Linked DNA regions of Macaca fascicularis. The protein of the gene in region 2 binds, or shares a complex with, the protein of the main gene of each other region. Links are inferred from orthologs where the notes say so. Each region holds a gene or a part of one and is shown on either strand. Other genes may lie near its edges.

What was found.
Region 1: the proteins of PLXNB1 (region 2) and SEMA4D are in contact, whole or in part, in a crystal structure (PDB 3OL2), measured with the Homo sapiens proteins. The link is inferred for Macaca fascicularis from reciprocal best matches to the Homo sapiens genes PLXNB1 and SEMA4D. Residues at the interface, in NP_001123554.1 of Homo sapiens: Leu80, Pro81, Pro82, Glu87, Arg136, Pro137, Gly138, Asp139, Thr140, Tyr142, Gly178, Glu202, Lys205, Ala207, Gly209, Arg210, Ser212, Glu213, Arg235, Arg242, Asp359, Val360, Asn361, Ser362, Leu367, Pro368, Thr371, Tyr375, Ser379, Asp380; in NP_001358123.1 of Homo sapiens: Glu99, Lys100, Gly101, Phe158, Tyr179, Phe181, Leu182, Gly183, Ser184, Arg198, Tyr201, Ile203, Glu208, Val240, Leu264, Arg265, Thr266, Leu267, Gln268, Lys270, Thr347, Gln350, Ser351, His352, Thr353, Asp388, Gln392, Lys395.
Region 3: the proteins of PLXNB1 (region 2) and ARHGEF12 are in contact, whole or in part, in an NMR structure (PDB 2OS6), measured with the Homo sapiens proteins. The link is inferred for Macaca fascicularis from reciprocal best matches to the Homo sapiens genes PLXNB1 and ARHGEF12. Residues at the interface, in NP_001123554.1 of Homo sapiens: Glu2129, Lys2131, Val2132, Thr2133, Asp2134, Leu2135; in NP_056128.1 of Homo sapiens: Phe82, Gly83, Leu84, Thr85, Val86, Ser87, Gly88, Asp89, His127, Val131, Lys135.

The regions. Positions count from the first base shown.
Region 1 is NC_088389.1:119,732,717-119,736,366, forward strand, and holds part of SEMA4D (semaphorin-4D), read right to left. Parts: intron 2,825-3,650; coding exon 2,652-2,824; intron 2,579-2,651; coding exon 2,535-2,578; intron 1,109-2,534; exon of another isoform or gene 1-1,108. UniProt on the Homo sapiens protein: Cell surface receptor for PLXNB1 and PLXNB2 that plays an important role in cell-cell signaling. Regulates GABAergic synapse development. Promotes the development of inhibitory synapses in a PLXNB1-dependent manner.
Region 2 is NC_088376.1:111,368,655-111,371,303, reverse strand, and holds part of PLXNB1 (plexin-B1), read left to right. Parts: intron 1-780; coding exon 781-855; intron 856-1,986; coding exon 1,987-2,091; 3' UTR 2,092-2,649. UniProt on the Homo sapiens protein: Receptor for SEMA4D. Plays a role in GABAergic synapse development. Mediates SEMA4A- and SEMA4D-dependent inhibitory synapse development. Plays a role in RHOA activation and subsequent changes of the actin cytoskeleton.
Region 3 is NC_088388.1:119,342,664-119,346,313, reverse strand, and holds part of ARHGEF12 (rho guanine nucleotide exchange factor 12), read right to left. Parts: intron 2,737-3,650; coding exon 2,661-2,736; intron 1,952-2,660; coding exon 1,784-1,951; intron 640-1,783; coding exon 552-639; intron 69-551; coding exon 1-68. UniProt on the Homo sapiens protein: May play a role in the regulation of RhoA GTPase by guanine nucleotide-binding alpha-12 (GNA12) and alpha-13 (GNA13). Acts as guanine nucleotide exchange factor (GEF) for RhoA GTPase and may act as GTPase-activating protein (GAP) for GNA12 and GNA13.

The DNA.
Region 1 (3,650 bases), on a different chromosome or scaffold from region 2:
AGAGAAACCAAGTCACAGGCTCAACCCAAGAGAAAATAGACAAGAGGACTGAGGTTGTCTGCACGATGCGGGCTAACCTACGCAGCACTGCACGAGACTCGGATACTGAACAGGAGAAACACAAAACACTCCAGGCCTGGACACGTCGCAGCTGGGGCGCCGGCGGGGACGCACAGCCGGCCTCAGTCTCCATCTGCATCTGAGTCCGCGAACTTCAGCTCACACTTGACGTCGAAGGGCTTGTCCCTGGCGGAAAGGTCGTCGATCCTCTGTGAGTCCTCCCTGTCCGTGGGGACTTTGCTGGTGATGGTGTCTTGCTCAGTCTCATAGCCAGTGTCCAGGGCTGGCTTGGGGTGCTCCCCATTCTGCTGGGAGAAGCTTCCTGGCTCCACTAACGTCTCCTTCAGGCTCTGCTCACGGTCACAAAAATCTGACTTGGGCTTCTTCTTCCCGATCAGCAGGGCCGAGCGGAATTTCAAGCACTGTCTGGGCAGGTATCCCTTATAGCAGTTGTAGAAAAAGAGGCAGAGGAAGAGAACAAAGAAGAAGAGGAAGAGGGACATGAGGAGGCGGTTATCGCTGGACTTAAGATACATGGTTTTCTCCGAGTGGAGCTGGGGGACCGTGTTGATGACAATCTTTGGTTCACAGGATGTGCTGGTGGGCACAGGCTTGGGAGGAAGGGTGATGGCCCCGGAGGAGGTGGCCTGCACGGCTGGGGTCGGGGGAGAAGACCCTTGGGTGGATGCCACCAACACTTTGGTGGCAATCCTACTACCTTCTGTCTGAACAACTGACAAGGTGGGGGCCACCACGGGCTTTGGAACCACCTTCACTTCCAGGACGTGCTTGGCGACTACTTGGAAGACCGTCTTGTTCTTAACCCTCTCCTCTGACAGGCACTGGTACACCCCACTGTCTCCTTCTGATAAGTTGAAGATGAGCAAGTTTTTTCTGCCCATAAGACCGTACTTGGGGCTCTCAGCCTTCAACACGCCATTCTGGAACTTCCAAAACACCCGGGCCAGGTTGGACTTTTGGGAGCATTTCAGTTCCGCTGTGCCACCGTGCTTGAAAAAATGCTGCCGGTAACTTCCTTTACTTTTATCTGGAACATCAAAATAAACGTGCACAGCGTCAACAATCCCCATTTGCTATTTAACAATTTCTTTAAAATACCCACAAGATGATGCAAGAGTTTCACCCACTGGAGCAACATGGAATCTTCCAGAACAACTAAGGAGATAAAGACATGCGTGACCAAAAAGCAAAGATGAGCCCTGGATGACAGCCGATAGGGACAAAGAAATCAGAGGCAGCTCTGAGCAGCAGAAATCGCATTTCTCACCCGTGTCCCAGAAGAAAACGCGCCAGGCCGGGGAGGCTGAGCAGAGGCCAGTTGTGCGCCTAGTGTCACTCTCTGAATCAGACACGAGATGCTTCTGCTAGTGGCTACAAGGAAGGCTGACCTTTCGGTGTATCTCAGCACTCTCCTCCTGCCTAAACTTTTTTTTTTTTTTTTTTTTTCTTGAAACAGGGTCTGGTTCTGTTGCCCAGGCTGGAGTGCAGTGGTGCAATCACAGCTCACTGCAGCCTCAACCTCCCCAGTTCAAGGGATCTTCCCACCTCAGTCTCCAGAGTAGCTGGGACTACAGGTGTCTACCTCCAGGTCTGGCTAATTTTTGTATTTTTTGTAGAGACAGGGTCTCACCACATTGCCCAGGGTGGTCCTGAACTCATGAGCTCAAGTGATCCTCCTGCTTCAGACTCCCAAAATGCTGGATTCCAGGCGTGAGCCACTGTGCCCGGCCAGCTTTTCTTTTCTTTTTAGAGTCTGGGTCTCACTTAGTCACCCAGGCTGGAGTGCAGTGGCATGATAAGCTCACCGCAGCCTTGAACCCCTGGGCTCAAGCAATCCTCCTGCCTCAGCCTCCCTAGTAGCTGGGACTACAGGCGTGTACCGCCATGCCCAGCTGTCTAAACTTTTCTTAGTCTGATGACAGCTGTCTTGTCAGGGACAGGAGGACACAGAACCGAGGGTCAAGTCTGCCTTTAGCACCCTGGAAGGTGGCTGCTGGGGAAGGGGCGTCCTGGCCTGATGCCACCCCTCCCTCTGGGCGAGGCGCTATTTCAGACATCCACAGGCGGGTGAATCTCAGGTGGGAGCCCCAGGGGAAACACCACCCCAGCCCTTCCACTGCCTGAGGATTAATCACTCACAGGCTCCTTTCTCCCCATTTGTAACAGACTTAGGTTTTGTTTAATGAGCCCCAAGCTAAGCAGAAAGAAAACAGGACCGTTTTGGAAGGAGACTGCTCCCCAGTAAACAGACACACTCTAAGTGGCTTCAAATACTCTTTTGGCAAGAAAAAAAGACAGAGAAGACCACGAGTCTGCTACAGGACACTTAACCTCTGTTCCAAGTGGAGAAAGAAAAACAAAACACACACAAATGCCACAGAACTGAAGCACCATGAAATGGTTACAAGACCTCGCCACTCCCACAGGAACCAGGACGTCGAGGAGTCACTCACCCGGGCACACAGAAGCATCGCCGCTCATCTCCTGAATCAAACCCCTGCAAAACAACCGGCAGTGTTACTCACCCGCACACACGGGGACATCCCCCGGCGGCGCGTCCCACCCCGTACCTGCTGGGGCTCTCAGTCTGGTACAGAGCCACACACGTCGCTGTGGGTGGGCTCCAGGCGCAGTAGGGGTCCCGAGCCAGCACACAGTCCTCGCAGGTGCCGTGCTTCCCACAGAAGGCCAGAGGGGCCTGGACCACGCCCGAGTTAGAGCCAGCATAGACGAACCTCCTGCCCTGCGTGTGTGAGACACAGGAGAACTAGCATCAGGCAAGCAGGCACCAGTGTGTGGGAAGCAGCCAGAGTGCACCATCAGGGCACGCTGCAGTAAGGAGGACAGGTACTCAGAACCAGAGGCGAACAAGGCAGGCCTGCGACCTTCCGGCAGAATACACGCGCTACATCAGGGCTCACTGGGCCTTAGATCCAAATCCCTCTCTCCCCTGTCTGGGCACCCACTGCCCGGGTCCTGCCCTCCAGCAGAGCGCTTCTCTGCATGTGTTTCTCTTAGCCAGTGGAGAGGCTGTTCAGTCCCCACCTCCAGACCGCCTCCACGTAGAGGGGGATGCATGAGCCTGGCACTCCTGGTCATCTTCCCGGCCTCACTACAGGGGAGAAGGGGCTGCAGCCAGAGGCTGAAGCACACCACCTCGAAGCCCAACCTTATCCCTCGAGCCAGAATGTGAGCACCTATGGGCGGGGAGCCTCTTGTGAGGCTCTGGATCCAGCAGGGACCTAACATAACGGGGATGCCAAATGGACGACATGCAAAGGATGAGCAGATCGCGATACATAACATAAAAGAAGGAACAATGCCTTTGCTCTTCACGTGTCTATAAGTAAAAGGGAAGAGCTCCAGAGCAGCCACACCCACAGCAGAGGGCAGGTGAGACTCTCCACCTTCTGGGACACTTGGCTCCCAGGGACACCAGCTTCAGGCCAATCCCATCAGCCCACCTGGCACCAGCAGTGCCCAGCACACAGGCATCCAAGGCTGCTGACTGCTTTTGAATGGAACTCAGCTGGAAGGAGGGTGCCCCACACTGCACCCACCTGAAGCTC
Region 2 (2,649 bases):
AGGTAGCTGGGATTCAGCCTCAGGCCTGCCTGGGTCTGCCTGTGTGCGTCTTCCCACTGCTGTGCCTCCCTTGGTGGCACAGGTGTCCCCTCCACTTCCCCCATTCCTAAAACAGCCCTAAAATGTAACTCCAGGGAGTTACGAACAATGTTTCTGAAATGTTGATGGTGATGACAGCCACAACCACAACACTAATAGCAGCTGTAATTTTGGGGTGTTGTGTGTGAAGCCCTTCATAGGGTGCTTTGATTGTCTTACTTGATCCTCACAAGAACTCCACAAGTTAAGTGACACTGACTCCATCATCCAGGTGAGGAAGTTGAGGCTCAGAGATGTCCCCATGGAGGGGCCTGAGAGTGACCTCAGGAAATACTTGAGTTAGGCCAGAGCAGAATCATGCTGGGCTGTCAGCCTGCAAGTGACATCAGTGCCACTTGGCTCTGGAGTCACCTGGGTGGCAGAGGGTCTGGGCTAGAACCTTAAGGGATTGAGAGAGGCAGGGCTCCAGTGGAAACCCCAGACCTTGCTGAAGCAGTTAGACCTGAGCTGTCTTCCTACCACGGAGACCCTCTTGGCGCTGCCCTGTTCTGTCACCATCTGGCACGCCTGGCCTGGGGTCCCTGGGCCATGGAGGGGACTCTGCTTCCCACTGTAGTGCCCATCCCATTCCCTACCTCTCAGGTCCCCTTCTCCCCCAACCCTTCCCTGGGGTCCTGGGCCACCTCCTGTGGCTGTCTGTACCCCTCATCTCTCTCACCTTTCATTTGGCCTCTTTCCTAGAACTACTCTGGAGACCTCGGGGCGCGAGTGGCCCTGCATGAACTCTACAAGTACATCAACAAGTACTATGACCAGGTGGGCAGGCCCTGGGCCCCAACTGGGAGGCTGACCCAAGGCATCCCAGGAGACTTAAGGGGCTCTGACCCTGTGACTCATGGTGGGGGCTTTGGTCTTCCCCAGGAACAGCATAGTGGGGGACCGGGCCCCTGGGCGGCTTGGGAAGTGTTCTCCAGGCGGGTTTCCTGGCATTGACTGTACTCTCACTTGTCCCACCACTCCCCATTCCGGCTCCCCAGCAGGATGGCGAGGCACAGTGCTGGTGGTTGTGGGGGCCAAGGGGTCTACCAGGGCCTGGAGGTGGTATGCATTTGCTGAGTTGGCAGCATGTTGGGCATGGCCAACATGCAGGTGCAGGCCTGGCTTGGCTGCATGAGCTGAGAAGAGGAGAGTCCAGGCACACGGGCTGGGGTGTGAGGGTACACTGGAGCTGGTGAATCTTTTTGGACGATCCCTGGGCTGGGCCTGAAGAGCTGAGCACCTGCCAGTCAACCTGCTGGGTGCCTGATGGAATAGTCCACTTAGATGTTTGTGTGGCACCAGTGAAGTGATTGTTGCTGCTCAGAGATGAGGAACCTGCCTCATGGCCCACAGTCTTCCTGGGCATGGTATGGGCCATGGCATGGGGCATGGGGGAGGCAGAGTGTAATGCAGGCATGACCCCTCGTGGAGACATAGTGGGCAGTGGCTGTTTTCCAAAGTGCTGCTGCCCTCCGGTTCCTACTGGCTCCCTTGGTGGCAGCCCCCAATTTGTGGTTGGTGTTTGATCAGTGTCTGTTTTCTCAGCACATGTGTCTGGTCATTCTTGGGTCTCTGCCCCTTGTCTGGCACCAGGCAGATAGGAACTTGGGAAATGCTGTTGCCGGGCGGGTGGGTGAGCCAGGATGGCTGCATCAGGGCTTCTGAGGGGCTCGGTACTGAGTCAGGTCCTTCATTTCCTACCTTATTCGTCCAGAAACGGTGGCTTTGATGTTATTACCCCTCCTGCTGGCGAGGCCCTGAGGTCACAGAAAGTACGTGAAGTGACTGGCTGGGTTTCTTGGCCTCCTATCCCACTTGTGCCACAGCGTCTTAGGAGGGCTGTTGAATTTTGCAGCAAACACGTTGGCCAAAGAAGTCTCCCCCTGATGGCATTGGTCTCTGTTTCAGATCATCACTGCCCTGGAGGAGGATGGCACGGCCCAGAAAATGCAGCTGGGCTATCGGCTCCAGCAGATTGCAGCTGCTGTGGAAAACAAGGTCACAGATCTATAGGGACCCAGGAGCCACGGCCTGCTATTGCTTCAGCCCGGCCTGGGCAGCCCTGGAACCTCGGGGGGAGAGGCCACCTTCTTAGGTGCCTGTAGTGACTGACAAGCAGTTAGTGGAAGGTGACTCACAGTCTCCTGGTGGCTCTGGCCTTGGCCCTGCTGGACCCACCTCCTAGGCCAGGGGCCTCAAGGCTCATGGGGTAGGACCTAGCCTGCTTCCCGAGTCCAGGGACCCTATGACACCGGTCTGCAGGGAGTTGGGGACTGAGGGCTTCCAGAGAGTGGCCGGAAGAGCCTCCAGGCCCCTGGGGAGACTGTGCTGTTCCTGAACACTGGCCTTGGCTGCACTGGGATTCGGAGAGGAAGGAGGAGAGCCCCATACTTCCTGTCTGCCTCCTCCACCATTCCTGACCTCAGTTGAGCTGCCTCTGGCCTCGTTGCTGCTGCCACATCCTAGGTCTAAGAGTTGAATGCCTCTCCTAGGCCACTGCAGACTGACCCCTCAGCAGGGCTGGCTGTCACAGGGCCACCCTGCCTCACAGGGAGCCATGGTGAGGGCCAT
Region 3 (3,650 bases), on a different chromosome or scaffold from region 2:
GTAATGGAATTGGCTTTGTGGATTGCTCCTTCACTGATGCAGCCATCCGACAGATTAGGTCCTGCCAGCTTCAGAAAGTTGGAAAGAAATCCAAAATACAAAAAAGAAACAACAAAAGAAATATCCTTTAAATATACTCACAAAACAAAAAGAAAAACAGAACTAAACAAAAACCAATCAACCAACCAACCAAAAAAAAAAAAAAACACTTCACTCTGCCAGAGAATATCTTTATTTTGGCAACACACTATTAAGGTGAGAGTCCAAAACTATACCTTAAGAAAAATCTAACGTTATGGAGACATTACCCATTAAAAAAACTTCAGCTGACATTTTCCATATTTTTTTCTTTAGGAAATAAACTTCCAGAATAGAATCAAAATAAAAGGCATCAATCTAAAAAAGAACAATTTCATAGTAGAATGTCTCTAAAAGAGTAGAAGAAGTGCTTGGTTTCCATACATTATAAAAACAAAGTTAAGTTTATGGAGTATTATGCTTGGGATAATGAAAATAGTAGCTATAGCAAGGTAGCCATATCTAATACATACACAGTCTTTTCAGAAACTGTCTGTGCCACCAGTTCATAAATCTGAGCTCCATTGTCTGACATGGAGATGACGAATAAAGCTTTGTTATCTGGAAAAAACAAGACAAGATTACTCTAACACTCTGATCTTGGGAGACCATGAGGGATGTTTTTAGAGTCTTGAAATAGTCCTCTCCTTAAACTAGATAAAGGTTACATATATTTACTTTAAAATTCATCAAGATGTACAGTTAAAATTTGTGCAACTTACCATATTAACCTAATTACTGTATTATATTTATTGTACTTCAATAAAACAAAGATTATACAAATTAGCACTAATTCCACAATAATTCACTAGAAACAAAAGGATGTCAAAAATCCAAATTACTGGCTGGGCATGGTGGCTCATGCCTGTAATCCCAGCACTTTAGAAGGCTGAGGCAGGTGGACTTCGTTGAGCTCAGGAGTTCAAGACCAGCCTGGGCAGCATGGCGAAACGCTGCCTCTACAAAAAACAAAAAAATTAGCCAGGCCATGGTGGTACATGCCTGTAGTCCCAGCTACTCAGGAGGCTGAGGTTGAAGAATTGCTTGAGCACGGGATGCAGAGGTTGCAGTGTGCCAAGGATGCACCACTGAACTCCAGCCTGGGTGACAGGGTGAGACCCTCGTCTCAAAAGAAAAAAAAAAAAAAAATCCAAATTACCAAATTAAATGCTATTACTCTTTTGCATTTATTTTGAACTGCCCTTTTGCTAAGTTGTTAATAATATTCAGTGAATAGTGGAGAAAAGAGATCACAAATTTATTTTGCCACCATGAAACTAACAAGTTTTAAAAGGGACCCCTTTGTTAATAGAGTTAAAATACAACTTGCCAGTCAAATTTGATTTTTAATCAAAATTCCATCCATCTCTTCAGTTTTTATTTTTTTTCTTACCAAATCAAAAAACATACCACCCTAAATGAAAGGCTTTTCACTGGGATCTATCAATGATTTGAACATAAAGAACCAAAGTAACAGCATAAAAATTTTCAAATACAGAAAACCATTCACAGAATCTAGACACCCTAAATAACTTTGGGGTATAAACTCTTAAGTCTCTTTCTAAGCAGTAAATTTCACGTAATTTGCTTAATAATATAAAAATAGCAAGACTCTATGCCACTTGTGTTACTTAAACAGCAATGAGTATCTTATGCAACTTCACAATGAACCTGGAAATTAGTATCCTTCAGTGGACATACTTGCCTGTTGCCACTTGTCGAACCAACACTGTACTCAACTTAATGACAGGGCTAAACGTATGTTTGCTATCAGCTGTAGATGCCAGAATCTTACTATGACACCTTAACACCAGTCTATCATCCTGCTTTTGTAACAATACAAGAATGTCTTCTAGCAGCAATGTGTATAAATCTAGAAATAAAAGTACAGAAAAAAATGGTAAGTACAGAAATTGGGACGTCTTTGGTTAACTTTATAATGATTCAACAGAGGAATTTTATTTCTGTTAAAGCTACAAAATTTTCAAAATTGACTTGTATATTATCTTTTAAAATTTCATTTTCAATAATTCATTTTTATTGTATTTCACTAAAGTGTCAATCTGTGACCAACAGGAAATAAAAAACAACAAGCTGGGTGTGGTGGTGTGCGCCTATAATCCTGGCTACTAGGGAGGCTAAGGCAGGAGGATCACTTAAGCCCAGGAGTTCGAGGCAGCAGTGCACCATGACTGCATCTGTGAATAGCCACTACACGTCAGCCTGGGCAACATAGTAAGACCTTGTTTCTTGGAAAAAAAAAAAAAAAAAAACAGTTCCTCATCACAGACAGTTTAACAAGTACTGGTCTAAAGAAAGCTTACAAAGCATACTAAGACTTACTAGAATATAAGAATGATGGAAATAGGACTAAATCAGATCTCTGTTACATTCCTAAATGAATATTTAACACGTTACATATAATGAAATAACACAAGCAGATCTACAAATGTACAAATAACACGAGGTAGCACTGCTAACTGCTGAGAGAATGGTTCTCTCCTCTTCCTTTTGTCATAGGAAACTCCTATTTCTTCCCTTTTGCCACTCTCCCCAAAACTAACAGACAATATCAGACCTACCAATAGTTTTATCTCTATTCACCTTCCAAACCAATGGTCCTTCATGAATCATCTTCCTTTTTGTTAAATCCAAATTCTGGCAAAATAAAGAAAATCATGCACAAATAATTTCCAAGCACTCAGTAACATGATATTCTATATAATACAGTCTCTTTTTAAGAAATTCTTAATATAAAATACGCCATTTACATCAACTATCATTACTGCTATTTGTCAGTTCTTGAAAATGGCACAAAGGCCATGTTAAAGTAATCTGCATACGATTTTCTAAAAAGGAAAAGGTATCTTGCAGAAAAACATTCAGGAGTACTATCTTCCAAACCTCATTCTAAACAGATAGTAACAGATTATGAAAATCAAGTTACAAACATTCAGCCACTAGAGTCTCAACATATCCTTTAATTTTTCTATGAATAATTGGATGAGCATGGTACATATGCTTGTCTATAAGAAAGTGGCTTCTGAGTTCCAAGGCTCTAATTTCAAAGAAAGTTCTAAGAAATAGTACTCATGAAAAGTCCAGGTACTACTTAGGCTTGGTCTAAATATTAACAACTTATTAGTAAGAGAATCATCTTTTAGTATTAGCAGCTCTAGAAAACTCTCATTCTTTGGAAGTTAAGGGGAATAAGCACATTTACAAGCTTGTTGACAAAGTATTAATATATGACATAAAAGTCTATTTTAACGGCCACCAAATAAATCTGCCAAAACCACCACCTAGTGAAATGGTACAGAAAGACTTAAAATCCGAAAAAGTTAACACATAAGCCCACATACTAGAAGTGGCAATTAGTAAACATTCTACTATTGTTCCTATAATGGTTCCAACTTTTATGCTTTTGAAGACCCTCATGAGAAAATAATACATTATCTTGTGTTATTAAATGACCTGGAAAGTTACCATAGTAAACAGTCCTACCCTTATTTAAACTACAGAACACCGGCTGGACATGGTGGCTCATGCCTGTAATCCCCGCACTGTGGGAG